Linked DNA regions of Oryctolagus cuniculus. The protein of the gene in region 2 binds, or shares a complex with, the protein of the main gene of each other region. Links are inferred from orthologs where the notes say so. Each region holds a gene or a part of one and is shown on either strand. Other genes may lie near its edges.

What was found.
Region 1: the proteins of ORC4 (region 2) and ORC5 are in contact, whole or in part, in a cryo-EM structure (PDB 7JPO), measured with the Homo sapiens proteins. The link is inferred for Oryctolagus cuniculus from reciprocal best matches to the Homo sapiens genes ORC4 and ORC5. Residues at the interface, in NP_001177808.1 of Homo sapiens: Ser18, Gln21, Arg22, Arg25, Glu26, Cys29, Arg30, Gln31, Arg69, Thr74, Asn100, Leu102, Leu103, Gln104, Ile105, Ile109, Glu113, Arg116, Asp162, Arg277, Met281, Met284, Leu285, Asn288, Met311, Asp312, Ser313, Lys314, Asn316, Ile317; in NP_002544.1 of Homo sapiens: Ile17, Ser20, Leu21, Phe22, Gly23, Glu24, His26, His27, Phe28, Ser29, Phe30, Pro31, Tyr36, Gly37, His38, Thr39, Thr98, Phe99, Asn100, Val103, Arg104, Arg131, Glu134, Asn136, Pro139, Gly140, Arg143, Gln145, Glu146, Leu147.

What each region holds. Positions count from the first base shown.
Region 1 is NC_091434.1:140,226,117-140,242,046, reverse strand, and holds the start of ORC5 (origin recognition complex subunit 5), read right to left. Parts: upstream 7,603-15,930; 5' UTR 7,493-7,602; coding exon 7,421-7,492; intron 3,241-7,420; coding exon 3,148-3,240; intron 1-3,147. UniProt on the Homo sapiens protein: Component of the origin recognition complex (ORC) that binds origins of replication. DNA-binding is ATP-dependent. The specific DNA sequences that define origins of replication have not been identified yet.
Region 2 is NC_091434.1:94,204,169-94,219,958, reverse strand, and holds the start of ORC4 (origin recognition complex subunit 4), read right to left. Parts: upstream 8,616-15,790; coding exon 8,413-8,615; intron 8,002-8,412; exon of another isoform or gene 7,898-8,001; intron 7,887-7,897; exon of another isoform or gene 7,671-7,886; coding exon 7,588-7,670; exon of another isoform or gene 7,563-7,587; intron 7,349-7,562; exon of another isoform or gene 7,262-7,348; intron 1-7,261. UniProt on the Homo sapiens protein: Component of the origin recognition complex (ORC) that binds origins of replication. DNA-binding is ATP-dependent. The specific DNA sequences that define origins of replication have not been identified yet.

The DNA.
Region 1 (15,930 bases), about 46 Mb from region 2:
CTTCCTCAACCTTTGTAGAATACTCCCTTTACTAAACTCACTTCAATTATTTCTTTAGGTCTGTCACTTGTTTCCAACAGAGATTCAAAGAAAACTCTAAACAATTCTTATTAATAAATATATCCAAGTAATTGAATATTAAAATTCTAAGGGGGAAATACAAACTTATTATTTTAAGTTCAAATCCTTAATGATGAAGTAGTCTAGGTCAAAAAGGAAATTTAAAGAGTTAAAATCTAATGATTCTCCTATGAGGATTATAGCTCATATCATAGACTGAGTTCCTGGCTCTGGCCTCTCTGCTGCTGTTGGCATGTGGAGAGTCAACCAGTGGATGGATGATTTCTCTGTCTCTGTTATCTGTGTCTTTTTGGCTTTTCAAGTAAAATGAAAATAAATAAATTTAAAATAATTTTAATGAGTTAACTCCAGAAATAGTAAGGAAACAAACAAATACAGTCTGTTATCAAAATGAAATCACAAAATAGCCCTGATCAAAGGAGATATCTTGTGATATCTGGCACAAATAACGAAACCTATACAGCAGTAACTATTTGTAGTGATATTTCACAAATCTTACTCAATTACAAGGATTTTCTTTCTCTCTCAGAGCTACAGCATAACTAAGGCCATATCATATTTACCTGGGCAGTTTTACCAGTGTTTGCAAACCCTCTATACCCCCATTCCTTTAAGCTCAGGAGTCTACAACATCTCCTAAATATCTGGCTTATTCCATTTTTACTATCTGTAACCTTCAATGACAGCATATTCTAAGTGCCTGTTTGTACACCTATACCAGAAGTCATAAAAATTAACACCTCACTGATTAAATAGCACCAAAAATTACAATGGGTGAAAACATGGACTATAGCCCTTAAATACTGCTAAGGTCTGGATATTAGTCTGGACACTGAATGTCTCCTAAGGGACCATGTGTTGCAGCTTGGATCCAGGGTAGTAATATTGGGGGTGAAGGTAGAACCTTCAGGGGGCAGGGCCTCCTGGGAGGGTCTAGGTCACTCAGGGCATACCTTCAGGTAGTTCTTGTGAAAGACTGGTATAAAAGCCTGAATTAGAGTCCAGCCTCTCTCACTGTTTCCCCCCCTCAAGCTCCATCATCACCACGGAGCCTTCACCAAAGCCTGCATTATGCCGAATGGACTTTTAGCCTCAAAACTGTTAGCTAAAAAACAAAACAAAACAAAACAAAACAAACCTTTCTTCCTTCTTAAGTGTTCTCTCTTAAGTGGCTTGATTCATGTGTTTCGTTGTGACAATGAAAAGTTAACTAATACAAATACAAAACCTCCTTATTGGATTTTCAGGCTTTTATTCAGTATGGCTTTTTTTTTTTTTTTCCCCTCTCAACTGTCCACAACTGGAGCTGAGCTAGGCTGAATCTCAGAGCTTGGAACTCAATCCAGGTTTCCCATTTGGGTAGCAGGGACCCAAGTGCTTGAATGATCACTTGCTATCTGCCAAGATGTACAGTGGCAGGAAACTGGAATCAGAAGCAGAGCCCAGACTAGAACCAAGGAACTCACAGGCATCTTAACCACTGTGTCAAATGCCCACCCTCAATATGTATTTGTTTGGCTGCCTAATACAAAGGAGTTCTCAAATGTAAGGGCTTGGGTCAGGACCTTGTCCTCTCAGATTCTAAAGTTTGCTGTAGAGAGCAGGCACCCAAGTTTTCAAAATGCACAGCTGGTCTTCATGATCAAAGGCTGAAATCCACAAGCTGGTATGTGTTACACACTATTATCTGGTCTGGGGATAATCAAGAAACCCAGTCTGAAGCCAGGGAAACATAACACAAAGTTACAGCTGGGAGGGCTAAACATTGTAACAGAGTACTAAGGTTGCAAAACAGATGGGCATTTAACAGATGAGGCAGGAAGGGCTTCCTAGAATATTAGTAGAAGAAAATGTGACAAAATAAGTATTTGCCAAGCAATATGGCAGTAGTGGAAGAGTGAGTAAAGGATCACCCAAAACAGAGGGAGCACCACGTGCTAAGCCTTGAAAGTGAGAGAGCCAGGACTGTATTTCAGGGAGCTGCACTAACCATGCAGCCTCAGGGCTCCAGTAAGACTGGGACAGCACACTGAACCCTGCGGGCTGGCCACCCCTATTTGTATACACACTGCTCTGAAACACAGCCACATCCATTCAGGTGATACCACTACTTTTATACAATGGCAGTGTGAAGAAATCCAGACAAAAACCATGCTGCCCCCAAGTCCTCAATATTTACTAACTTGCCCTTAGCAAAAACTCTGCCCATTCCTGGCTTAGAATATGTTAGCCACTAACCTTTATCTCATTACTAACATTCAGTTCTCCTAACAATCCTACATGTCGTCACTACGATCCCTATTTTGCAGATGGGGAAAGCACTAAGTGGCGAATCCAAGAGAGGAACACAACTCTGCCAGACTCGACATTCCAAACCCTCAATCATGACATGATGGGAGATCAACTGAATTCAGCTCATGAAAGGTCTTACGTATCAGGCAAATCACTTGAACATTGTCCTAAAGAGCTTAAGATTTGCATGAGCTAGCTGTTGGGTGAAGACAGGATTGGAACGAGGAGATATGCAAAAATACATGGAAGAAACAATGGTAATGAAACTGAATTGGGAGCAACAGTTATGGTTACTAGTAGATGGAGTCAGTATTTTGAGGGTGTAGATTAACAAAACATGTTTCTTGGTTTGGTTTACTGGATTAGTAAGGATGAAGAAAGAGTTAAAGATTTTTTGGACAGCTCTGTCATTGGTGACATCAATCACAGACAGGTAATACAGGAAGATAAATAAGGTAAAGTAATATGTTTAGCTTTGTATTTGTACAAATTATCAGTATTAATATTATAAACAGTGAAAAAGAAACAAATTGTAATATTTTAAAAACAATTTCTCATCTGTTTTCCTCCAAATATTATCAATCAGCAAATGAAAGAGAAAGGGAAATTTGACCCAATTTAAAAAATAAATTTTAACATCAAGATTCGAATGATCTAATAATAACACTTTTCAAAGTTTACAGTCAGTGAAGGGATTCAAACAAAAGTTAAGAACCGTTTCTAGGGGTCTGTGATTAAAAAATCAATTAGCACTGAGTTTGGGATTATTCTTACCTCTAAAGTTTTCAACAAAGTTTGTGTTACATAGGTCTTCCCACTGGCAGTATGTCCATAAATAAAAATGGATGGAAAGCTGAAATGATGTCTCTGGGGGGAAAAAAGATAAATATCATGAAGTTGATAAACTATTCCTCAACTTGTGATAAAGTTCTATATGGCAAGGTGAAATACTCAATCCAAGTAACGTTAACAGTGAGTGGGGTCAGCACAGTGGTGTGGTGGGCTAAGCCTCCACCTGTGGTGCCAGAGTCTCATATGAGTGCCCGTTCGAGTCCCGGCAGCTCCTCTTCCAGTCCAGCTCCCTGCTATGGCCTGGGAAAGCAGTAGAGAATGGCCCAAGTGCTTGGGCCCCTGCAGCTGCACCAGGGACCTGGGGGAAGCTCCTGGCTCCTAACTTCAGATGTCTCAGCTCCAGACGGTACGGCCATTTGGGGAGTGAACCAGCAGAGGAAAGATCTTTCTGTCTCTCCCTCTGTAACTCGACTTCTCAAATAAAGAAAATCTTTAAAAAAGAAAAAAAAACATTAATAATGAGCATGCAGTGGACTGTTAGATTTTGAACTTATGTGAATTCAACTCTTACAAGTATTTTCTGTTACGGAATTAAAATGTCTATAAAGTTGTATCTGGCATATATTGTACGTATTTACAGTTTTTATTACTGCATACAGTTACATATACAAACTCCTGCATTTTTAATATATAGGACACTGTATTTTCAACTTACTGTAAAGAGTTTTCCAAGGATAATTTTGCCCATACTCCATTTTTATACTAATCCTCTTTAAAGGATTTAATCCCCTTGCAGACTGCAACTTCACCGTTCATTTTACTGCTTTGAAACTAAGCATATAGAATCAAGGGGGCTAGAAGTAATTCTAACAGTCCTTATTTTTAAGAAAATTTGTAGAATACTTTGAATTATATATACTCATTGACTCTGGCAAAAAATGCATACATCTCATCAAATGAAATATTAATGAAATCCATATACATAGATTTAAAAAGAAATAGTCACAAGATCCTCCTGCAGCACAGTAAGTCAGCACCCTCAAGAAGAGTAAAATTGGTTCGAACACCCTTTGTTGGTCTTGTCAATACTACTGCTTAATGAGTCCAAAGAAAACTCATCAGATACCTACTAACTGCTCTAAAGCACAATCACTAAAAAGAATACAAGTATCAGTAAAAGATGGTTTACTACTTGGGAGTTTATAGTCTGAGTGGGGCAACATACATTAAAAAAAACAAGAAAACTGGCTGATGTCATTCCCATAAGAAAGCCAAGTCTGTACACCATCTTCTATCTCAGCATCAGCATCATACAAATGCATTACATTCTAGTCTCTCACTTAAACACTTCCTTTTACAAGGCAAATCAGGAGCTCAGATGAATACAGGAGAAAGCTTTTGGAATGGCACACCTGTGGCAAAAGCAGCTCCACTGCTAAAAATGAACTAACAATTTACCAAGTGGATATTTTAGTATGTGAATCCTTTTTTTAAACTTTGTATGTAACAATCTTAGAATTAACTGGCTCAAACATTTTTCATTACATGCGTGATACTGGGGATCTCTGCTATCCAAAACACTGCACACATTACACCTTTAAAGAGAAGCGAAATAGCAGGCTTCTGGAGTTTTTATTTATTTATTTATTTTTTTGCCAAGTTACACTGAACCCTTCCTTTTCTGGAATGCTGCTATTATTTGGTGCCTAAAGCAATCACCATCCTATAACATCTTTTCAATTGTTACCTAGGATGATATTACACTCTTGGACTGTTATTTAACTTTTGTAAACTTCCCTAACACAAATTCTAATAAGCTAGTATCTAGCACAGTGCCTGAAACAGAAAAGATGTTCAGTAACTATTTCCTCTTGAATGAATAAATGAATCTTCTTGGAAACATGAAGCCATTTTTTATAGTTCTTTGCTATAGTTCTTTGTATTTCCCATATGCACACCTTGCAGAAAAGTGACATGAATATTAAACATGATTTGCAGTAAGAGTGAAAGACTCCATTCTGTAGCCCACACTAAGGCAGCACTGCTCATCTCTGTTTGCCAATATTCTTTTCTAAAAGAGGCACTTCTAGTAGGAATGACCTGGGTTTATCAGTTCCAGTGAAGAAATCCACAGAACATGTTTCCGTGATAATCTGGATAACTGTAATTTCAACACTATAACCTGAAAATTCACTGAAAATATAGTAGCTGACTTCTTACTTCCCTAGCATGTCCCTTTTTTTAATAGAAAACTTTTATTTCATAAATGTAAAATTCAAAAGAACTTTTGGATTATAGCAGTTCTTCCCCCATAACCACCCTCCCACCTGCAAACCATCCCATCTCCTGCTCTCTCTCCCATCCCATTCTTCATTATGATTCATTTTTAATTATCTTTATATACAGGTGACCAGCTCTGTACTAAGTAAAGATTTCAACATTTTATACCCACACAGACAAACTATAAAGTACTGTTGGAAGACTAGTTTTACCATTAATTCTCATAGTACAACACATTAAGGACAGAGATCCCACATGGGGAGTAGGTGCACAGTGACTCCTGTTGTTGATTTAACAATTGACACTCTTATTTATGGCGTCAGTAATCACCCGAGGCTCTTGTCATGAGCTGCCAAGGCTATGGAAGCCTCTTGAGTTTGCCAACTCTGTCAATATTTAGACAGGACCATAATCAAAGTGGAAGTTCTCTCCTCCCTTCAGAGAAAGGTACCTCCTTCTTTGATGGCCCTTTCTTTCCACTGGGATCTCACTCACAGAGATCTTTCATTTAGGTCATTTTTTTTTTTTTTGCCACAGTGCCTTTGCTTTCCATGCCTGAGAAACTCTCATAGGTTTTTTAGCCAGATCTGAATGCCTTAAGAACTGATTCTGAGGCCAGAGTGCTGTTTAGGGCATTTGTCATTCTATGAGTCTGCTGTGTATCCCGCCTAGCATGTCCCTTTAAATGGAGAGTGGTACTTCCACTAATACTGCCCAGGCTACTTCTTTTCTAGTTGGATGAAAATACTGAAAAAAGCAAACCAGATAGGGGGCCAGCATCCCATAGGGGTGGCCGTCAGGCTGCTCCACTTTCAATCCAGCTCCCTACTAACAAGCCTGGGAAAGCATCAGAAGATGGCCTGAGTGCTTGAGTCTCTGCCATCTACATGGGAGACCCAGATGAAGCTCCTGGTCATTTGGGAAGTGAACCAGCAGATGGAACACCTCTCTCTCTTTCTGTAACTCTACCTTTCAAACACATATAAATAAATCTTGAGAAAAAAAAATGGCAAACCAGATGATCAGGAAATGAGGCTAATTCTAAACTGTCACTTACTTTTTTTTTTTAAGATTTATTCATTTATTTGAAAGTGTTACACAAAGATGGGGAGCGAAGAGGGAGAGAAATATTTTCCATCCGCTGGTTCACTCCCTAGATGGCCGCAAAGGCCAGAGAGAAACCAGGAGCTTCTTCCGGGTCTCCCACGCAGGTGCAGGGGCTCCACGGCTTGGGCTATCTTCTGCTGCATTTCCAGGCCATAGCAGAGAGCCGGGTCGGAAGAGAAGCTGCCGGGACTCGAACCGGAGCCCACATGGGATGCCAACCTCGCAGGGGGAGCCTTTACCGGGCCCCGGCTCATTCTTTTTATAAAGATCGAAACCTAATCAATGAGTCTGGAGCAAAAGGCACCCCAAAGGCCCCGAGAAGATCACATAATTTCAGTTTTGAACTGATGCGCGCTCCTTCTTACGCGCAGAAGGGACTCCTTCGCCGAGCTCCTCCACGCAGAGGACGACGGCTTCCCTGGAGGTGCCGATCTGAACCCGCAGACGCGTCCAGGAGAGCAGGCTGCCGGAGCGTGGGCACGCCGCCGACCCGCTACACCTGCCGCAGCCACCACACCTCCCGCGAGGCGCGAGCCCGTTACAGCCGAACCCCACACCAGCCGCTAGGGCTGAGAGCACACCGGCAACTTCCGGCGGCGGCTCTGCGCTCCCGACATCTGCACGGCGCCGGGTGTGCGAGAGGAGAGCCGGCCCTCGCCGCGCCCCGGCGCCCACTAGAAGTTACTCCGGGTGGGGGTCCGCGGTAGCCCCTGGCAGCCACACAGCCCCCAACCTCAGCGGAAACCATGGGCAGGTGCCCCTCAACCCGGACACGAAATTATTACCTAAATAAACAAGCAGTCTCAAAGCCACGGACATGTCCCCCCCTGCAGCATTTGGAAGAAAGAAGACAGTCTGACCACCGTACCTCTCCAAACAGGGACTGCAATGTGGCCACCTGGGACTCGCGACAAAGCACCATGTTTTCCAAGTGAGGCATCCTGGCGGGAAGCTCGGAGGAGACCGCAGCGAAGCTCCCGGGCAGCACTGCGTCACCACGGGAACACCTCCGCTCCGCCGGAAACGGGACGCGCCGGCGTGACGTCAGCGCGACCGCGGAGCGTCGCTGGCGCCCTGGTCTCCCGCGGTCGGAGCCGGCGGCGGCCTTGTCCGCCTGATGTTGGCAGGGGCATTTCGGGTCGCTGGCTCTTCCAGCCGAGCTGGGGAGAGGATGCCCCGGGGATGAGTGGAAGAAAAGGGGGCGGGAGGGCACGGGGGGCGCTGTGGCTTGCAGTGTGCCGCGAGGGGCTTCGCTTTCCCGCCTGAAGGTGCCAAGTGTAGAGACCTTGAACGCCGGGAAAGTGGACCCCCCCCCCCCCCAACTCCGCTCAGGCACCGGGGAAGGGGACTGTGCTGGCCCGTAGTCTCAACGTCAGAGTTTACCCCTAACGCGGGTGTGGGAAACGTGTGGCGTCCAGTGTAAAATGAGGTTCAGTACTTGCAAACCTGAAACCAGGTCTGGACCTGCCTCGAACTCCTAACCTGAGGAAATGCTGGTGTGTGTTGGCGAAGGTGGAAGGACTCAGCACAATGCTGCCATTAGCATAAGGCTTTCGCTATGCTGGAAACAGATACAGAAGTAGACACATGCTCAGAGAAAAGAAGACTTGGAGCCCTGAAACTCCTGGGTTGGAACTGCTGACTCAACTATTTCCAAATAGGGAGACCTTGGAAGAGTGATGGCGCCTTTCAATTTGAACTTCACGTTGCTAATGTGAAAGTAGGGATAATAGGCTGGCGCCGTGGCTCAATAGGCTAATCCTCCACCTGCGGCGCCGGCACACCAGGTTCTAGTCCCGGTTAGGGCGCCTGATTCTGTCCAGGTTGCCCCTCTTCCAGGCCAGCTCTCTGCTGTGGCCCGAGAGTGCAGTGGAGGATGGCACAAGTTCATGGACCCTGCACCCACATGGGAGACCAGGAGAAGCACCTGGCTCCTGGCTTTGGATCAGCGCGGTGCGCCGGCCACATCGGCCATTGGAGGGTGAACCAATGGCAAAGGAAGACCTTTTTCTCTGTCTCTTCCTCTCACTGTCCACTCTGCCTGTCGACCAAAAAAAAAAAAAAAAAAAAAAAAAAGTAGGGATAATAGCAACTGGGTTTTGCTAAAAGTATGTGATGACGTGTACAGTGCCTGCTACACATAGATTTACATTGTGGATATCAGTCTGGCTACAGACTGGACCAGACTCATAACCGTAATGGTTAGAAGGACCTTTTGAGGATCGTGGTCTCCTATAACTTCTTGGCTATTCAAATGAAGTTGCCTAAGGGAGAATTCTGAAAGCCACAGTGGGATGGCCCATCAAATCTTTGTGTCTTAAAAAAAAAAAAAAAAAAAGATTTATTTATTTATTATTTGAAAAGGAAGAGGCAAGAGAAAAAGAGGTCTTCCATCCGCTGGTTTACTCGGAAGCTCATCCGATCCAAAGCCAGGAGCTAAGAGCTTCTTCCAGGTCTCCCACGTGGGTGCAGGGACCCAAGGACTTGGGCCATCTTCCACTGCATTCCCAGGCCATAGCAGAGAGCTGGATTGTAAGTGGAGCAGCCAGGACTGGAACCAGCACCCATATGGGATGCCAGCACTGCAGTCAGTGGCTCCATCTGCCACACCACAGCACTGGCCCCTCAGTGTCTTTTCATAAGGAAAGTAGGTCCTTGCCATTCCTAAAAATGGTTACACATTCTCAACACCATATAGCATTCAACAAACTTATAGCTAAATAATTGTCTAAACAAAGTGTTAGTCTCCCTCTCCAGATGCTCTGAGGAGTGAAAACATTCCACAGCTCCAATTCCAGCATATAACAGTGCCCAGCATATGCTTAATAAGCAGTTAATGAATAGCTGTTGATGTAAGAGGAAATGCTATACTGCTTGGACAGGCTGAGGATAGTTCCCCAGGGGAAGGAACCTGGATGCTGAGGCTTAGGAATGAGGGTTCAAGAAAAAAAAAAAAAAAAAAAAAGGGAAGTGTTAAAGAGTGCTATGCTGAGAGTGTTGGACTTTAGGCAGGCTGTAGGGAATCAGGGAGGGATTTTAGGCAGAGAAGTAAATGATGAGACTCAACTTTTAGGAAGATCTCTTTGGCTACAGAATGAAGAATGATATCAATTTGACTTGTTAAAAACTCCTGCAATCAGGAGGATTGGGGTGGCTTCCTGTGTTACTTATTTATCTTGCAGTTTTGAGAATCCTCTCTTTTGGCCTTGGGGAGCTTGGTTATAATATCTTGGGGTAGAATTGGTTGAGTTGAGTCTGGTGATTTTTGATATTCTTGTATTTGGATACTTCTGACTTTCTCTAGGTTTGGGAAATTTTGTCATTATTTCGTTGTTTTTTTTTTTTTTTAAGAATTATTTATTTGAAAGTCAGAGTTACATAGAGAGAGAAGGAGAGGCAGAGAGAGAGAGAGAGAGAGAGATAGAGGTCTTCCATCTGCTGGTTCACTCCCCAAATGGCCACAACAGCCAGAACTAGGCTGATCCGATCTGAAGCCAGGAGCCAAGAGCATGCAGAGGCCCAAGGACTTGGGCCATCTTCTACTGCTTTCCCAGGCCATAGCAGGGAGCTGGATCGGAAGTGGAGCAGCCAGGACTTGAACTGGCGCCCATATAGGATACTGGCACTGCAGGCGGCGGCTTTACCAACTATGCCACAGCGCCAGCCCCTGTCATTATCTCTTTGAATATGCTTTTTCTTCTGGCTTCGATCTGGCCCACCTCTGGCCATTGTGGCCATTTGGGGAGTGAAACAGCAGATGGAAAATTCTCTCTCCGCTCTTTCTGTAACTCTGCCTTTCAAATAAATACAATAAATCTTAAAAAATTTTTTGAACAAAAATAGAAACAACATACCAAAACCTACAGAATATGGCAAAAGCAGGACTAAGAGGGGAGTTTATGTCAATCAATGCCTGATTTAAAAAAAAAAAAGCCAGAAAGATCTCAAATAAACAATCAGTGCATCTCAAGCAACTCAAAAAACAAGAACAAAACAAATACAAAATTGTTAAAAGGAAAATAATGGAACTCGGCACAAATAAGTGACAGAGATTAAAATATGAATACAAAATTCAATGGAACAAAGAGCTGGCTCTGGGGCTGACACTGTGGTTCAGCAGGTTAAGCTGTTGCCTATGATGCTGGCATCACTTACAAGCACCAGTTCCTGTCCTGGCTGCTATACTTCCAATCTACCTCCCTCAGAAGGTAGTGAAAGATGGTCCCAAGTGTTTGAGCCTCTGCCACCCATGTGGGACACCCCAATGCAGTTCTCTGGCCCAGCCCTGGGTACTTCATCCATTTGGGGAGTGGACTAGCAGGTGGAAGATCTCTCCCTCTTTCTCTGTCTCTCCTCCTCTCTCTCTGTAACTCTGCCTTTCAAATAAATAAAGAAATCTTAAAAAAATAAGGAGCTCATTCTTTGAAAAGATAAACAAAATTGATAAATCCTTAAATAGACTAACCAAGAACAAAAGAAAAAAGATTCAAATACACAGAAGTAGAGATAAAAACAGACATTTTAACTGAAAAAAAAAAAAAAACAGAAATACAAAGTATTGGATTAAGGTGCCACCTGTGACACCAGCATCTCATGTTGGAGCATCAGTTTGAAATTCAGTTGCTCTGCTTCCAATCCAGTTCCCCACTAATGTGCCTGGGAAAGCATTAGAAAATGGCCCTAGTGCTTGAGTCCCTGCCATCCAAGTGGGAGACCCAGATGGATTTCCTGGTTCTAAGCTGCAGCCTGGCCTACCCCCAGTTGTTTCAGTCATTTTGAGAGTAAGCCAGTGGATAGAAGAGTCTCTCTCTCTCTCTCTCTCTCTCTCTCTCTCTTTCTGTGTGTGTGTGTCTTCCTTTCTGTCACTCTTTCAAATTGATGAATAATTCTTTAAAAAAAGGAAAATAACTATTAGAGATTACTATGAACAACTATATGGCAATGAATTCAATAACCTAGAAGACACAGGCAAGCTCTTGGACACATGAACCTTACCAAGATTGCACAATAATGAAATAGAACCCCTAAAAAGATCAAGTATGTGTACTGCGATTAAATCAGGAATAAAAGCCTCCTGTCAAAGAAAAGCCCAGTGCCAGTTAGCTTCACTGCTGAATTATGCCAAACATTACATAACATTCTATTTTATTTATTATTTTTAAGATAGCATATTTTTAATTTACATTATAGTCAAAGGCTTAATGCTACACTAAAATAAAGAGTTCAACAAATAAAAAGTAAAAACAACATAGTTCAGCAGGAATATTGGCAATGGCTATATTCAAGAAACAAATGATGTTTATCTTTACTCATATATAGTAAATTTTAAAATATTCAAAAATTATTAAGACTACAGTCATAGTTATGAATTCTGCCACAATTTTAAAGAAGATGAAAACCAATCCTTCCCAAATTATTCAAAAAATAGAAGAGGAGGCCAGTGCCACAGCTCACTTGGCTAATCGTCCACCTGCGGCGCTGGCACCCCAGGTTCTAGTCCCAGTTGGGGTGCAGGATTCTGTCCTGGTTGCTCCTCTTCCAGTCCAGCTCTCTGCTGTGGCCCGGGAGTGCAGTGGAGGATGGCCCAAGTGCTTGGGCCCTGCACCTGGGAGACCAGGGGGAAGCACCTGGCTCCTGGCTTCGGATCGGCCCAGCGCACTGGCTGTAGCGGCCTTTGAGGGGTGAACCAACAGAAAAGGAAGACCTTTCTCTCTGTCTCTCTCTCTCTCACTGTCTAACTCTGCCTGTCCAAAAAAAAAAAAAAAAAAAGAAGAAGAAGAAGAAGAAAAGAAGAGGAGTGAGTTCTCCAAAATTCGTTCTATGAGACCAGTATTGCTTTGACAAGGCAATCAGACAAGGACACGACAGAAATGGAAAGTTACAGGCCAATTTCTGTGATGACTATGGATGCCAAAAAATCCTTAATAAAATACCAGCAAATTTAATCCAACAGCACACTAAAAAGACCTTTCACCACGATTATGTAAGATTTATCCAAGGTATGCAAGGATGGCTCGACATATGCAAATCACTAAATGTGAGACAGAAATGGGCAAATAATTATATCTGTAGACACAGAAAAATCATTTGATAAAATTCAACATCATTTCATGATAAAACTGATCAAATTAGGCATAAAAGGAATGTAACTCAACAGAAGTAATATGTGTATGTGTGTATATTTATATATATATATAAAATCTCAAGCCAACAACTAACATCATACTGAATGGGGAAATGGTAAATAAGATCTGGAACAAGACAAGGATACATACTTTTACCACTTTTGTTGACCACAGTATAGAAAATCCTAACTGGAGCAATTAGACAAGAGCAAGAAATAAAAGGATCCCAATTAGGAAGAGGTCATAGTGTCACGGTTTTCAGGTTACATGAGTGTACATGTATAAAATCCCAAAGATTCCTTCAAAAAGCTGTTAAAACTTAAAAAAAAGCAAATTCAGGGGTCGGCATGGTGGAACAATTGTTTAGGTCACTGGCTGGGACTCTGGCATCACATACAGGCACCTGTTTAAGTCCCAGCTGCCCCACTTCCAATCCAGCTCCCTGTTAATGTGCCTGAAAAGGCAGCAGAGGACAGCATAAGTGCTTGGGCCTCTATACTCATGTGGGAGATCCAGATGGAGTTCCTGGCTCCCAGCTTTGGCCTGGCCCAGCCCTGACCATTGAGGACTTTTGATGAGTAAATCAATGGATGGGAGATCTCTATCTTGCTGTCTCTCCCTCTCTATCTGTAACTCTTTCTTTCAAAAAAATAAATCTTTTTTTTTTTTTTGACAGGCAGAGTGGACAGTGAGAGAGAGAGACAGAGAGAAAGGTCTTCCTTTGCCGTTGGTTCACCCTCCAATGGCCGCCGTGGCCGGCGCGCTGCGGCCGGCGCACCGCGCTGATCCGATGGCAGGAGCCAGGAGCCAGGTGCTTTTCCTGGTCTCCCATGGGGTGCAGGGCCCAAGCACCTGGACCATCTTCCACTGCACTCCCTGGCCACAGCAGAGAGCTGGCCTGGAAGAGGGGCAACCGGGACAGAATCCGGCGCCCCAACCGGGACTAGAACCCGGTGTGCCGGCGCCGCTAGGCGGAGGATTAGCCTAGTGAGCCGCGGCGCCGGCCAAAAAAATAAATCTTTAAAAACAAAACCAAGAAATTCAACAATGTTGCAGCACATGAAGTCAACAAACATTTATTATTATTATTATTGTTGTTATACACTAATAGTGAAACATATGAAAAAGAAATCAAGAAAGCAAGTCCATTTCCAGTAGCTGAAAATAAATATATAATAAGATACCTGGAACCAAATTTAGCCAAGGAAGTGAAAGATCTCCACAGTGTAAATTGTAAATCATAGATGAAAGAAGTTGAAAAGGAAACAAAGAAATGGGAAGACATTCCATGTTCATGAATTGAAATAATCAGTATTATTAAAATATGCATACTGGGGCCGGTGCTGTGGCATAATGGGACAAGCTGCTGCCTGCAGTGCCAGCATCCCATATGGGTGTCGGTTCAAGTCCCATCTGCTCCACTTCCGATCCAGCTCCCTGCTATGGCCTGGGAAAGCAGTAGAAGATGGCCCAAGTCCTTGGGCCCCTGTGCCTCTGTGGATAGACCCAGAGGAAACTCCTGGCTCCTGACTTCAGATTGGCACAGCTCTGGTCATTTCGGCCAATTAGGGAGTGAACCAGCAGATGGAAGACCTCTCTCTCTGCCTCTCCTCTCTCTGTGAAACTCTGACTTTCAAATAAACAAATAAATCTTCTAAAAAAATAAAAAATAAATATGCATACTATCCCAAGCAATTTACAGATTAAATGCAATCCCTATCAAAATTCCCATGACATTTTCCACAGAACTAGAAAAAAAAATTCTAAAATGGAACAACAAAAAAAGACTCTGAGTAGCCAAAGCAATCTTGAGAAAAGATAACAAAGCAGGAGGTATTACATACCAGACTTTAAAATATAGTACAAAGCTACAGTAATCAAAACAGCATGGTGTTAGCATAAAAACATATCCATAAACCACGGGGACAGAATATACATGTTAAAAATAAACACATATATCTACAGCCAAGTGGTCTTTGAAAAAGTTGTTAAGAACATACATTGGGAAAAGGTTAGTCTTTTTAAATAAGTGGTGCTGGCAAAAATTGGATATCCACATTCAGAAGAATGAAACTAGACCCTTATAGCTACCTATGTACAAAAAATCAACAAAAATGGATGAAAGAACTAAATGTGAGAACTGAAACTCTGGGAATATAAGTAAAAAATAGGGAAACACTTAAGAACATTGGAATAAGAAAGGATTTTCCAGATCAGACTCCAAAAGCAGAAAATAAAAGAAAAATAGTCAAATATGATTTTAACAAACTAGAGAGCTTTTGCAAAGCAAAGGAAACAGTTTACAGAATCAAGAGACAACCACAGAATATACTTGCAAGATATACATCTGACAAAGGTTTAGTGTCTAAAATATATAAGGAACTCAAACAACAACTCAGTAGTGAAAAAATTAATTTAAAAATGGGCAGTATATCTAATGAGACTCTTCTCAAAGGAAGACATATGAATGGACAACACACATGTGAAAAATGTTCAATGTCACTAATAACCAGGGAAATGAAACTCAAAACACAATTAGATATCACCCAACTTCAGTTAGATTGGCTATTATAAAAAAAAAAAGACAAAAGACAACAAGTGTTGGCAAGGATGTGGAGAAATCTTTATGCATGATTGGTTGAAATGTAAACTAGTACATTGTGGAGGACCTAAAAATAGAACTATGCTATGATCCAGCAATCCCCTATAGGGTATATATCCAAGGGGAATAAAATCACTTGAAGAGACATGCATATATCCCAGTTTCTTGTAACACTATTCACAATAGCCAAGAAATGCAAACAACCTAAGCGCTCATCCACTAATGCATGGATAAAGAAAATGTGGGACATATACATATACAATGAAATATTACTCATCCATACAAAGGAGGAAATTTTGTCAGCTGCAGCAACATGGATGGGGCTGGAGGACATAATGCTAAGTGATGTAAGCTAAGCACAGAAAGACAAATATCACATGATCTCACTCTATATGAGGTTTAAAACAGGTGACCTCAGAGAAGTTCAAAATATGCTGGTGGTTATCAGAGGATAGAAAGAGAATAGTGCAGAAGGATTGAGGGGAAATGTTGCTTGAGTGGTACTAAGTTGTAGTTACATAGGAATAAGAAATTGTGGGATTCAGTTACACAGTAGGGTGACTATAGATAATGCACTGTATAGTTCTCTATTTTTAAAAACTTAGAAAATAGGATTTTCACTATAAGGAAATGTTAAGTGCTTGAAATAAT
Region 2 (15,790 bases):
ATAATTGTTCATTATGAGAGCTGCCCTACACATTGCAGCATTCCCAGCTTCTACCCACTAGTTTTCAGTAGCAACCTACCTATAGACAAAACATTTCTCTGGCAAATTTCCCCTGGGGAGCCAAACTGTTCCAGTGGAGAATCACTGACAGGAGATTAGAAAATTCTTAGACCAATCTTAACAGCCCTAGAGGAAGTTTTTCAAACACCTAAAGATATTGACATCAGGATTTCTCCCTTAAAAAATGTTGCAGTTAATGTGGCCAGTGGCTTTACCTGCTAGGCCACAGCATCGGTATCTCATATGGGCACAGGTTCGAGACCTGGCTGCTCCACTTCCGTTCCAGCACTCTGCTATGGCCTGGGAAACCAGCAGAATATGGTCCAAGTCCTTGGGCCCCTGCACTGGCGTGGGAGACTCAGAAGAAGCTCCTGGCTCCTGACTTTGGACCAGCCCAGCTCTGGCCATTGTGGTCAATTGGGGGAATGAACCAGCAGGTGAAAGACCTCTCTCTGCCTCTCCCTTCTCTCTCTGTGTAATTCTGATGTTCAAATAAATAAATCTTTTTTTTTTAAAAAAAATGCTGCAGTTAAATAGTTCCATGATGAGAAGCATCTACAGCTAGTTCACAAAGTCCTGAAACAGCTTTCTTTTTTTAAAAAAAAAAATTAGGTATTTCTTATTTTTTCTTTAAGATTTATTTCATTTATCTGAAAGAGTTATAGAGAGAGGTAGAGACAGAGAGAGAGAGGTCTTCCATCCAATGGTTCACTCCCCAGATGGCCGCAACGGCCGGAGCTGCACCGATCCGAAGCCAGGAGCCAGGAGCTTCTTCTGTGTCTCCCACACTGGTAAAAGGGCCCAAGGACTTGGGCCATCTTCTACTGCTTTCCCAGGCCATAGTAGAGAGCTGGATGAGAAGAGGAGTGGCCGGGACTAGAACCAGCGCCCATATGGGATGCCAGCACTTCAGGCCAGGGCTTTAACCCACTGCACCACAGCACTGGCCTCCTGAAACAGCTTCCTAACACCCCTAACATCAGTTTGAACACAATCAGGGATCAAAACTCAGCTGAAGAAGCCTTCAAAGTTTAAAAACAAACAAATAAAAAACCCAAAACATACTAACAGAAAGAGTAACTTTGAGGAAATAGAGAAGGCATGGAGAAATAAACTTCAAAACAAAATTCTAAAAACTTTAATTAAATTCCTATTGATATTAAAAACCAGAATGTCGTCAAAAATAAAACACACCAAAAACATGGCTTTCAGAAATTAAAAACACAATAGCAAATGTGAAAGTCTCAAAGGTCTGAAAAAGTAAAGTAAAATTCCACAAAGTATAAAGAAAACGGCAGATAAGAAATAGGACCAGGAAATACAGCATGTAAATAGAGTTCCAAAATCAAATACACAGAAGTGAGAAAATTAAAGAAAAAAAAAAAAACCAGAAACTTTCTCAGAGCTGACAGGTAAGTTGCTAGACTGAAGGACTCATAAAACGCTTGGTAAATAGAATTAAATCATATTACTGTGACATTTCAAAACTTTAATACAGAAAAGCAGATTCCATAAACTTCAGATAAACAGAATGTAAAAGCTTCCAGGGGGAGATAAAAGTATGTAAAGTATTTGAAATAAAAGTGGTTTCAGATTGACCAGATGCTAAGAATTCTTTCATAATCCCCCCAAAAATCTTCCAACTTATAATTCTACATCCAGCCTAACTTACAGCTGCTTTGAAATAGACACTTAAACAAATATAACATGTCAAAACATAAGCTTCTCAGAAATCCATTGAAGACTGAAGAATCAAAATGAAGACAAAGGATTACACAAAATATAGGAAACAGGATGCACAATAGGAGGATGTACAAGTGGCAACCATATCAGGCAAAGGGCTTAAACTGGAGCAGATCAAAAGGTTCCAGGAGAAATTTCATAATGGTGGTTAAATAGAAATTACTTGAACTTCCGAATACATGGAGAGGATAAGCTGAAAACCAGCAGACAAGCTAGGACCCAACTAATGGCATGTTAAAACTATACAGACACAGAAAAGTTATCTACAAAAAACTATCACATCAGTGAGAAGAGGAAGGAGTGTAAGTGGAAATAATCTAAATGTGCACTGTCCACAGTAGTAATTTGACAATGCCTGAAATTGAAACAAAAAGAGGCAGCTATCTAAGATGCTTTTTAGAGATTTGAAACTTTAATATCAAAGGAATCAGCCAAAAATTTCTAAATGTGTTTGCTTTGTGGTGTGTGATAGTGGTGGTGGGGAGAAATGAAGGACATGGAATCCACTTTGTCTAACATCACACCCTTCATGGGAATAAGCAAAGTAAGGGAATAAAGGCTCAGTCATTTTGTCCACCATGGAGCAAATGCAACAGGAAATACTTTCAAGAACTCAATCTGTGACAAAGAGCTATTTTTATTATTAAGACATGCAGATGTATTTGAAACTTAAATAATATATTAGATTCTTCCACCCTTGAAACTGTAAGCTTTTCATTAACTTCACTTCTTATACTAAATAGGCTAACATGATTTTAGAAAAATAAAACAAATATGAGTTAAGTTTAATCATAAAATTTTGATTAGAAGCATAAAGATCTGAAAACCAAATCTAAGGAAAAAAAAAAGGAAAGAGAGTTGAGTATGCCATTTATTGCACTGTCAAACTGGACCAAGACTCCTGCTAAGGATGACAACAACAACAACAAAAACCTTCAAAGTGAGGATGAAAGAAATAAGGCAGTGTGAAATTACATGCCAAAATCTAGGAGAAAGTAAACCAGAAATAAACTACATTCTCACTTCTGCTCCGAGAGCATTTGTCTACCCAAAAGAAAAGGCTGAGAAATAAGGCTGAGCTGCTACAAACTCTGCTAGGATATTTTAAAAAGTCAAAACACAGGGCCTCACAACACAGTTGGAGACTGTGATAAAACACAGCCTAATTTAAGTTGAGACTTCAAGGGCAACATCATCAAAACGAAGATTGGAAGTAAAGTAGAAATATGAATTCAAATCTGTTTACTGTTATGTGTGTTAACAGAAGGAATCCCAAATATTAAAAATCCAGCAAGTGACCTGAGATTGGTAGCATCCCTAAGTATCTTTCTGAGAAAAGTGCACCTTCTTAGGAAAGATACTATTGGGGCCTGTGCTGTGGCTTAACAGGTAAAGTTGCCGCCTGCAGTGCCGGCATCCCATATGGGCGCCAGTTAAGTCCCAACTGCTCTACTTCTGATCCAGCTCTCTGCTATGGCCTGGGAAAATAGCAGAAGTTGGCCCAAGGACTTGGGCCCCTGCACCCATGTGGGAAACCTGGAAGAAGCTCTGGCTCCTGGCTTTGGATTGGCGCAGCTCCAGCCATTATAGCCAATTGGGGAATGAACCAAAGGATGGAAGATCTTTCTCTGTTTTTCTTCCTCTCTCCGTGTAACTCTTTCCAATAAAAAAATAAAGCATTTTTTAAAAAAGATACTATTATACTATGACTCATATAGACTTATATAATCTTTTTTGAAAAAGACGTATTTATTTCTTTGAAAGAGGTACACACACACACACACTCATACAGAGAGAGAGAGGATTTTCACCTGCTGGGTCACTCTCCAACTGACCGCAACAGCCCAAGCTGACCTGATATGAAGCCAGGAGCCAGGAGCTTCTTCACGGTCTCCCATGCTGGTGCAGGAGCCCAAGGACTTGGGCCATAGCAGAGAGCTGGATAAGAAGTGGAGCAGACGGGACTCAAACCGCTATCCATATGGGATGCTGGCACTGCAGGCGCTGGCCCCTATATATTCTTTTCTAATACAATACTTGGAAGACCAATATGTGTGCATGCACACACATACGCACACACACACACATAGACACAAAAATGAGCCGGCACAAACAGATTTATCAAAAATTTAGAAACTACAGTTATCTGGCATAGACAATAAATGAACTACAAACACTAAGCCAATAAAAGCTGGCATTTTCAGCAGGTAACTAGAAACAGTACAGATGGACATGGCCAATATTTTTAAAAAATACTGATGAATGAGTTAAGAATCCCAGTGAACTCAAAGCAGGAAAAAGAATACCAACACAAAAACATCTTAGAGGAATAGAAGAAAAATTATGGGGTCTGGCGCTGTGGCATAGCAGGTAAAGCCGCTGCCTGTGGTGCCAGCATCCCATATGGGTGCCAGTTCGAGTCCCGGCTGCTCCACTTCTGATCCAGCTCTCTACCATAGCCTGGGAAAGCAGGGGAAGATGGCCCAAGATCCTGAGCTCCTGCAGCCACGTGAGAGTCCCAGAAGTTCTTGGCTCCTGGCACCGGATCAGCCCAGCTCTGGCAGTTGCGGCCATTTGGGGAGTGAACCAGTGGATGGAAGACCTTTCTCTCTCTGCCTCTGCCTCTCCTTTTCTGTAACCCTGACTTTCAAATAAATAAATCTTAAAAAAAAAAAAAAAAAACTTTGACAAACAAAATATGCTAAAAGACAGATTCCCTTCAAAGTAGCAAGAACCTGACAGCTGACTTCTCAAAATAAAGAATAAAAACCAAAATAGGGAGAGTGTTATCTTCAAGGTAGTAAAAAATAAATAACCACAAATGTATAATTTAATATCCCCAATATACTCCTAAAGATTTAAGGCAAAACAAGGACATTGTAAGATAAGCAAAAACTTAAGAGAATTGGCTAACAGAATGGAATGTCTAATGGATATATATACACATACATATATATATTTTAAGATTTACTTATTTATTTGAAAGGCAGAGTTACAGAGAGGCAAGAGCCTCTTCCAGGTCTCCCATATGGGTCAGGGGCTTTCCCAGGCCATAGCAGAGAGCTGGAATGGAAGTGGAGCAGCCTGGACTCCAACTGCTGCCCACAAGGTATGCCAGCACCACAGGTGGCAACCTCACCCACTAAGCTACAGTGCTAGCCCCTGATGGATATTTAAAATTAGATATTTCTAAAGAGTATACTCACATTAAAACAGAAAGATCCCAAAATAAATGAAGGAATTAAGAACAAAGAGGGGGGTAAATATATTAAGAACTAACACTGATGGCAGAAAATAGGGCTGGCCAACAGAAATACATAAAATAATTTGACATTTTGTAACAACTATATTTCAAAAAACAAGGTTAAATTAATTATAATCTCAACTTGCAATCAAAATGAAAAGGACAGATATTTTAAATGTTGTCATATTAAGTCTTTGAAATCTGGTATTTATTTTACATTTACAAACATCACAACCTAAACTGTCACACTAGCCAAATTTCAAATGCTCAAAATCCACATGCAGCCACTGGCACTATAATGGGTATGGTAACTGCAGAACTTGCTTTCTGAAGTCATGGCTACACATAAAATTCAAATAACAACATCAGCAGAATATAAACCAATAATGGACTAAAAGGAGACAAAGCTATGATCTAGGAAGAGAGTAATACTCCAAGCACAGAAAAGATATTTGCCATATTGCTACAAATCTTTAAGTAAAACAGAAAACCCCATATAAAACTGGGAAAGACCTAAAAAGACAATGAGATAATTCCAAAAAAAGGGACACCTAAATAACTAAAATGTTTTTGAGAAAGTGCTCAATATCATTAGTAACCAGAACAGTATAAACTAAAACAACATAAAGCTACATTCCTCAGAATCTACATCCAACTGTTAGTTGGATGGCAGAAATAAAGGGATCTATCATATACTATTGTGAGGATATAAACTGCTATATCCAGTGATAGAGAAGTTTGACTAAACAAAGTGATGTTGAAGATAAATATATGTAAATGCATGTTATGAGGATAAGAATACTACAAGTATAAGGACATTCATTGTGGCACTGTGCATAACTGCTAAGAATGAAACACAATACAAATGTCCACCAATAATTAGACTAGTTAACTCCACTTATTCCTAAAAAGATTGTACTGTTACACTATAAACATTACCATACAGCAATGAAAATATCTGAACAAGGTTAAGTTCAATAAACATTAACAGTTAAATCTCAGAGAAAAAAGCATACAAAATGATATATAAGTCAATTTTCACAAAGTAAAAAGAAAAGCAAAACTAGTGTATATTGTTTGGAATGCTGACATATGTGGTTAAAAAAATACTAGGAGGAAACATGGAAAATTATTACCACAGAAATCAAGATAATGTCACCCTCTGAGGTGCAAAGGGGGATGTCAGGAATGAATGGATGACAGGTGCTCCTCTGGTGCCACTTATATTCTAGTTCTTGACTTTAGTAGTGATTACAGAGTTCACTTTAGTTACACATTATACTATGCATATGTTTGTGACACTTTTCTGCATATTTAGTATTTTTTCATAAAAAGATTTAAAAATTCTAAGGCAAATTAATTGCCTTGTACTTTTTCTACTGTGGTAAATATTCAGTTTCAGTACAAAGGAATCTAGTTTTGAATCTATCTGACATGACTGTACAAATAGAGAGCAGTAAGCACTCAGCAATAATGCAAAAATAGGATCCACGGCCCAAACTTTTACAGTATGTAATCTGTGACTTCCATAGTGTACCCTAAAAAGGTCACACCACACAATCAATAATACCAACACAATAAACGGGAGGAATTTTCAATTCGTAGTTTTAAAAAAATACATAAGTGATGATTCCTCAAAGTATCTTTATAAAGAAGAAAACGCAGATTGGGATTTTTTAAAAGTAAGATAATATAAAACGAAAGTGAAAAAGAAATTGCAGTTTCACTATGAAAGTTTTACAAATCCTTTCTTAAAAAATGCTGAACCCTTATAAGGTATAAACATTATTTCCAACAAAAACAGGTAGCGTTTAACTGATAAACCAAAAGCTTAAAATAAAGCACGTATCCACAGAAAGGTAAGATAAACAACCTTTTAAAAAAATCTATCATCCACGGTATTGGGAGAGAAAATTTGACTATGACCCTTCTCTATCAACCATAAAACTCAGTATCAGCAACTACACAACTGCATATCCCTCTGAGAGCAAGCACTGGCTTTTCGTTGCGGCAACAACAGAAGACAAGGAGAGAAATTCTACTCCAGGGTCCGCTACCCGCTCCTACCTGCAAGCCGCCCAGGGAAGGCTTCGAGCTCAGCAAAGAAGCGGGCACAGCCACTTAAATGCAATGCTCTGGTCAAGTCAAAATGCACACACCGGGGTTGTCTCTCTCCCTGGTTAGGTTCCCTGCTCTGTGAAAGTCATCAGTCACCTGCCGAGGCGGCAGAGATCCCATTTCTCTCGAACCCGGACAGCGTGCATCTCACCCAGCACCTCGCTGCAGGCCCAAGCGTCCTCAGGACTCCCGCTACTAGTCAGAGATTTAAAGACAGGCTTATGGTGAGGTCACGAGAGAGAACGATCCCGACTGGTCCTGGCCTGCCCGGCCTAGAAAAGCCTTCCCACTTCCCACATTCTCGGTCTCCCCAACCTTCTATCCGCCCCTTTTCGGTTTGCCTTTGGCCACCCGCTCCCCTGACCGTCCTTGTCAGGACAGCCTACCCCCATATTACCTCGCGCAAGAAAGCGTGTCTTTACCAGGACAAAGCGGGGATCCCGCGACTGTAAGAACCGCTTCCCAAGACCGCCTCGCTGCGTTCTCTACTGGGCTCCACCTGCAGCTGCCAACGGTAAAACAATTACTCCCGACATGCCCCGCGCACGCACAGCCTCTCCTAGCCCGCACGCCCCCAGAGCAAGCACGTGACCTCCTTGGGCCTCCGTCCACGCCCACTTCCGTTCCTCCACTTTCTCTTAGGAGGGAGGAGGGAGCTAGGGGTGTTAAAGAGAAGCGACTTCCTCCTCCTTCCCGCCCCCGCCCCTCTACCCCCTGCTACAATGTCTTCCGGGTCGTGAGCGCCTCGGAGCCTTCTGGGAAAACATCTCATTTCCTCCCCTCCCCCTCCTCCTGCCTTCAACCAACCAGCCTCCCGTCAGAGAGTGACATGCGCAGTGAGTGCCTCCAGTCTCTTCTACCCGAACCCCCCCTCCCCCCCAAGCAGAGAGACCCCAGCAGCAGCAGCAGCTGATGATGAAGAGAGAGGCAGTGGCAGAGGGGGGGCACCTTTTATTTCTATTTTTAAAGGGACAGGACACTAATTTTACCCCACTTCAACCTTGAATTGAGGGGGGTTGGGGGAAGGCGACTGAGTTCCTTCCCCCACCCTCCAGCCCCGAGCCCTGAGAGGGGGATTGAGCCAGAGAGAGAAGGAGAAGGAGTTTCTTCTTCTTCGAAAATCCCCATCCACGACTCCTACCCCCTCACCCCTCCACTCGCCTCCCTCTCGAGCCCCCTCCACCCTCCTCCTCTTTGGCCGTGAGAGGAGGAGAGAAAGAGACCAAAAGCCTCTTAGCAACACAGACCCTTCTCTGCTGCTACTGCTGCTGCTGCTGCTGCTGCTGCTGCTGTTGCTGCTGTTGCTGCTGCTGTTGCTGCTGCTGCTGCTGCTGCTTGGCCCTGGCTGGAGACATCTCACTACACCCAGGAGCAGCCACTTCCCCAGCTCTCCTCCTCCTCCTTCGCCTCCTCCTCCTCCACTCCCCCCCTTTATTACCCTTTGTGTCATCCTCCACAGCTCCAGGGAAGGCACTCAAAAGTGGGGGGCAGGAAAGGTAAGTGTGTCTGTGGGGGCTTCACTGCCTTCCTCTGGCTCTGACTTTCACTCCGGGGCAACAGTAGCACCAAACCACAGACGCAGTGGCGCTCCGGGGTGAGGAGGGGGTGGTGCTGGGGGGGTGGTGAGTGAAGGAGGGGTTGGAGTGGGGAGGGGCGTGTGAGGTGGGGTGTCCATCCTGTCAGGGGAGGAAGGGCACTTTTATTTTTATTTGCTGTTGTCAAAAGTGGTTTCTCTCCTCCAGCTAACATCTGATTGTGTCTTGCTCCACTGGGGGAGAATACAAAAACAACCCCCTCCTTCCTCCAATGAGGCGCCAGGGAAAGAGACAGAAAGAGGCACACTTTCTAGATGTCACTTACAAAATTCATTGGGAGAGCTTTTTTCTCTTTTCCTAGGAAAAGCTCCACTGCATTTGTTTCTGAGTGGGAAAATGTCGGGATCTGAATTGTATTGGAACTGCTTATCCATTTGTAGACCTGAGTGTTTCCCCCCTTTTTGGTCCTGTATGTGATTTGGATATTGACTTCAGGATTGGAAGACTTGATTGGTTTTGGCTTTAGGGTTTGAATTTTCCATTTTTTGATCTTGTCTGACTTGCATAGAAAATTTCAGATTTTTAGTTCATAGAGGCCTTAGGTTGGATTTTGACTTGTATTATGGCTTTTTTGGTTAATGTGTGTTTGATGTATCAGTGTATAAAGTTAGGAGCTCAGAATGCTTGAAGTTTAAATGCCACTGGTATTGTCTCTTCCCACATATGTTCCTGATATTTATTTTCCATAAGATGAGAATGTGAACTATTTTGTAATTAATCTGAGTATTTTTATAATCTTTGTAACTTGTCTGAACAAGTAATCCTCATTGAAAACTTCATGTTGCCTGGCTTCATGGAAGGCCAGACCTCTCCATCAATAGTTTGCTGGATTGGTACCACTTTTAGTTTTAACTGAATTATTTATTTTAGTGTTGTAAATTGAGATGAGTTTTTCTTCTCTCAGGGTACTGAACCAAATTGCTCACTATATGTAAAAGGAGACAGATTTTTAAAATGTTTGTATAAGTCAAAGAAATCATGAAGTTCAGATAAACTGAAAGGTAAATCCACATTTAGGTTTTTAAATTAGCAATTTTGATAAAAATCACTGTTCATTTTTACATGGTATGTTCTTAGTGAACAAATTTCATTCAGTGCTGTATTTTATTTCAGAAATGCTGGAAAGTATTTTTATCTGGTGTAGGCTTTTTACCAGAGCTTACATTGGAAACTAGCATTTTGTTTCATACATATATTTCTTGATCTTTTCCTTGAAGATGGATGCACACATTCATTCTCTCTCTCCCTCTCCCCCACCTCTCGTTTTTTTCTCTCTCTTTCTCTCCCTCCCTCTTTTTTTTTTTTTTTTGTAACTGCATTGGTATCTCTGATCCCATAATTTATGTCAGCAAAAAATATTCCTCTGTAAAGCAGCAATTTTGCGATCAGACTGGCAATATGAAAACAGCAATTTGATCAGCTAGAAAGGATTGAAGAAATATAAATCTAGAAAGATATTTGACAAATATTATAAGGGCATGATAATACTTTTAATTTTTTTACTTTCCTCATGGTAAAGGAAAGATATAACATACTCATTTTAATAACAGAAAAGCATTGCATATGTGGAAACGTGTTCTGGAAAATTTTAATTACAAACTGTGTGCAAAAGTAGACATTTACACACAGGAGGAAAAAAGCTGTGTAGCAATAAATACTATGGCTTTATTTCCCTCTTTCTGTTAGAAATTTGAACAGTTTCTTCCCTTACTGTGAGATATAATTGGTATGCTTAAATGGAAATTTGTGCCAGCTCAAATTTTTCTCCCAACATCAATACTACTATTCCAGGCCACCTAGGATTTCTTATCCTCTAACCCTAACATAAGAGATAGAAAGTAGAACTTAGTGAAGAATACATTTTAAGTAAGTGAATTGTATAGATAATTGAAGTGGTAGTTGCCCAGCAGGCAGCTGAATAAAAATTTACTCAAATACCTTTACTTATTTTGTTTCTGTTTTTCTTTGAAAACATTTCTTATCCTTCTCCGCTCCCCCAGATGACCCTTTATGATTGTTGGAAGATTCTAGACTTTATCCAAATTGAATAATGATTTATGCTGGAAACTTTTTATTATATTTTTTATTACAGCTAATTTTTTAAGCACTAAAACCTGGATTTTTGGTGTGGTGATTTTTCAACTAGGTGATATCTTAGAAGTCAGATGGACCCAGCTCTTTTTAAATATTTATTTATTTATTTATATTTGAAAGGCAGAGAGGCGGAGGGGGGACATCTTGCATGCACTGATTTACTTCCCAGATTCCTATAATGGCAGGACTGGGCCAAAACAATGCCAGGAGCCTGGACTTCAATCTAGGCTCCCATGTGGGTGGCCAGGACCCTACTTCTTGAGACATCATTGGCTGCTTCCCAGAGTGTGCATTAGCAGGAAGCTAGAATCTGAAGTGGAGCCAGGACTGGAATCCATGCACATCAGTACTGGATGCAGGTGTCCGAAGTGAAATCTTAGCTGCTGGGCCAAATGCCTACCCCTATCCACCTCTTCATGTTGCATACTGCTGAAGTTCAGGGAGCTTGAAGAACTTCCCCAAGGTTGCAAGGCCTGCAAGTAGGCAGAGGAGGTCTGGAGGATTCAGGTCTCTTGACACTATGCTGCACTACCTCAATTTACTTTGTCAGGCTTAAAACTAGCATGTATGATTTCTGTGTATAGCATTTTAGGGCTTTTTTTTTTTTTTTTGACAGGCAGAGTGGACAGTGAGAGAGAGAGACAGAGAGAAAGGTCTTCCTTTGCCTTTGGTTCACCCTCCAGTGGCCGCCACAGCCGGCGCACCGCGCTTATCCGATGGCAGGAGCCATGTGCTTCTCCTGGTTTCCCATGGGGTGCAGGGACCAAGGACTTGGGCCATCCTCCACTGCACTCCCTGGCCGCAGCAGAGAGCTGGCCTGGAAAAGGGGCAACCGGGACAGAATCTGGCGCCCCGACCGGGACTAGAACCCGGTGTGCCGGCGCCGCAAGGTGGAGGATTAGCCTATTGAGCCACGGCACCGGCCCAAGCATTTTAGGGCTTTATGTGGAAGAATATTAAGGTAAATAGCTTTGAAGCCATAAGCCTGCCTATAATTCAGTAATTTTCACTGATTTTTTAAAAAGTAATAATTTCACTCACTATTAATGGTTCTATTTTAAAAATTATTTTAACTTTCTCTAATGCTTATGTTTCTCCCTGTGCTTCAATTTACTTACTAGTCTTGTGTTAAGGATATATATATATATGTGTGTGTGTGTGTGTGTGTGTCTGTGTGTGTGTGTATGTATATATACATATATTAAGAAATAGAATTCAAGTTGCATTTTAAATATTTACTTGTGAATCTTGCCACATGAACTAGTTAAGGACAAAGCCTAGTACACAGTAGGCCTTACTGGTTGTTTGTCATAAAACATACTAGTTTTGGAGTTTAATGTGTTTGAATTTCTTTATTTCTGTTTGTGGCATTCCTTTCTTTTCCTTCTTGCTATAATTTTCACTATTATGAAATTCTTTTCATGAGAATTTCCTTTTATTTTTTTTTAATCTCTGCTGTAGCTTTCTCTTTTTCTAATTAACAACCAAGTTAAATACTGTTAACAACATAACACTCATAGTAAGAAGTAAAAACATGTTCCTTTGTAATCCTTGTACAGTATATAATTTATAAAAAAGTGAGTTATTTTCTATAAGCAATGATTTAGAAAATCCATTTAAAAATATACTTGTAATTGTTTAGGGTACACTGAAATTTCATTTCATTGAGTTACTAGTGCAATGGGTTATTGGAATGATTAGACTAATATTACCATCTCTATAAAGCAACAGTTATTTAGGTAACACATTTCCCTGACTTTGTTTTTTTGATCCTTACCCAGACAGTTATCAACTTTCCAGTTTTCTATGGATATGAAGATTTACTCCTAGTCATCAGTGGGACCCCATGAAGTCAGCCAGAAAGCCTTTGTCCAACTTATGTACCTTTGTAAACTTGTCTGGATTTTGAATGTATGTGCAAAACAGATTGTATTTAGCTATTCATTAAAAGTCTATGATGTCTATCAGGCATTGTGCTAGGTATTTGAAAACAAGGGTGGTTGTTATAGGTTAATGTGAAAGAATATCTTAATTGTCTGTAAGTGTATTTGTCATATCTTTATTCTGGTGTTTTAGCTAAATGAATTTTATATTAACTAAATGGATACTGTTAGGTGGGAAGATATATGTTAAGTAGGATATTTCTGCATTTTGTTAGAAAAATATTTTTCAAAATTTTCCACTTAATGCTATATTTTAAGGTTGTCTTCTATATAGAGTTTATTCATTTTGGACAGCCATAAAGTCCATGTGGCTATCATTGCTGAATTTTTATTGCTAGCCATATATAATTCCATTATTTGAATATGATTTATACTCTTTATTAAATTAATTCATTACTTTTTCGAAAACACTAAATGCAAATTCTCCAAACTTAAACTTTCTTCTCAAAAGTAAATTTCCTACCTCATATAGCAGGTAATCTTATATGGTTGAATTGAAAGACGTTATATGTTTTGATTTTGACTTTTAAAATATTTTCTACTATATATCATGCAAATCTAACATCATGATTTAATTATTGTGCGGTAATGCGCAATACTTAGGAGCTTTGGGGTTTTTATTATATTTTGGATAAATTACTCCAAGATTCTCACACAGAACTTCCCAGTACTAGTTCTAAATCTGTAGTGATTTTAAATATTTTTGGTATGGTTTCTTCAGCTTTAGGAAAATTACTTGGAAGTTTCTTAGTAGATGAATGTTTCAAAAATCTTATCTCAGTCTTTGCCATGGCTTTCATATGTAATAGAAATGTTTGTTGAGAGAAAAAGTACTGGATTAAATTTGTCCTCCTTAAAGTCTTAACTTTTAGGATACTGTTGATTCACAGTTTTTAAAAAGGAAGGGGTGGCTGTGTGAGTGTGGTATACTAGGAACACAAATAGATTTGTGAGTGGTAAATTCTGATCTCTTTCACATTCATTCCTAAATTTCTATTTTATAAATAGTCATAACTATAGTCATAGTTTCATTTAATACTACCCATCAATTCCAATCAGTCCTTAGGGTGCTCCTGTGAACTTTCATTATGTTCCCCATGTTACAAATTCAGAAACTGATTACTAAGCAACAGCATTTTGTCATTATATAGCAGCAAAGTACTTTAACACATTAACTTTGACACTTCCTAATTGAAGACACAGTCATAGTAAAGAGTATTTGTCAACCTATGCTTGAGAAACATTAGTAAAACTATGGCCTGATAGCTTATTGATACCGTGTTAAGAAAATTTCTGAAGGTTTACAGTCAGAAAAACAAACAGTAATCCCCAGTCTTTATAAGAAATGTAGGTGTAGACAAGTCAGCAACTTAAAGTATGCATGAAGTCAGTCTTCACTTTATATGACAAAAATAACGTTTGGGCCTTCTAGATACTGAATTTCCTTTAAATTGCAAAGATTTGGGTTTAGTGTTCTGTTACATGAAGTTTAGAGGATCCAACAATATATGGCCCAATGAGTATTTATTATAAAATTTTTATGTAAATGTGTTGATAGTGAAAAATCACTAAACAAAAGGGAATTCTGTTTAGTGCTTTGATGTGTTTGTACACATTATCTTCTAGACTCTTGTCATAAAACCTTCTCATATTATATTACATACATAGAATTAAGTTTAATATATTTTTAGCACTACAGAAAATCAAAATTAAAAAAATATTTGAGAGGCAGAGAAAAAGAAAATTCCTATCTCTGATCACAATGGCCAGGACTGGACCAGGCTGGGACTAGACCAGGCTGAGAACTCAATCCGAGTCTCCTTTGTGGAAGGCAAAAACTCAGTAATTAGGACTATCACTAGAGGAAGCTGCAGTCTAGACCCAAGGTATCATACCCAGTGATTCAGATATAAAAGACAGGGATCTTTTAAAAATATACTTATTCACTTATTTATTTATTTGAAAGAGTTATGGAGAGCTAGGAAGAGACAGAGAGAGATCTTCCATTCATTGATTCATTCCACAAAGGCCAGGACTGAACCAGGAGCTTCACCCGGATCTCCCACGGGGGTTCAGGGACCCAAAGACTTGGGCTCTCTTCTGCTGCTTTTCCCAGGCCTGTAGCAGGGAGCTGGAACAGAAGTGGAACAGCTCAGACGTGAACTCTTGCCCATATGGGATTGCCAGCATCACAAGCAGTGGCTTTACCTGCTAAGCCACAGCACAAGTCCCAGAACACAGATATCTTAACTAACATGTTGACCACTAGGCTAAATGCTTGCCCCCAGAAATAGTTTTTAGCATAAGAACGAACAACTTGGGACCAGTGCTGTGGCATAGCAGGTTAAGCTGCCATCTGCAGTGTCAGCATCTCACATGGGCACTGGTTTGAGTCCTGGATGCTCCACTTCTGATCCAGCTCCCTGGTAATGAACCTGGGAAAGCAGTGGAGAATGGCCCAACTGCTTCAGTCCCTGCACCCTCGTGGGAGAACTAGGTGAAGCTTCTGGCTCCTGGCTTCTTCCTGGCCCAGCTATGGCCTTCACAGCTATCTGGGGAGTGAACCAGCAGAAGGAAGATCTCTGTCTCTGTCTCTGTCTCTCTCTAATTCTGACTTTTAAATAAATAAATAAGTCTTTAAAAAAAAAAGAGTGGACAACTTGTTGAATTCTCTAGATTACTAAGTTGCCCCATAGTTAGTTGTTCCTTAAAATTGCTACTAAATTAAAATCTGTTTTTCAACCAGCTAATCAGAATTGATGTCTACATCATTGTTTTTTAGGAGAAAAGAGAAATAAAAAAATTTGTTTTTGTATTTTATTTATCAAGTAAGTTTAATGTTCTCAAGTACATACACATTCATTTATATATGCTTGTACTGATTATCATCATATAAACTTGGAGGCCCACAGATTTTGGAAATACTTTTAAATGCTAAAGAAATTGTACTTTTATAAATTATACTATTATATTTCAAAGACAAAAATTTTTTA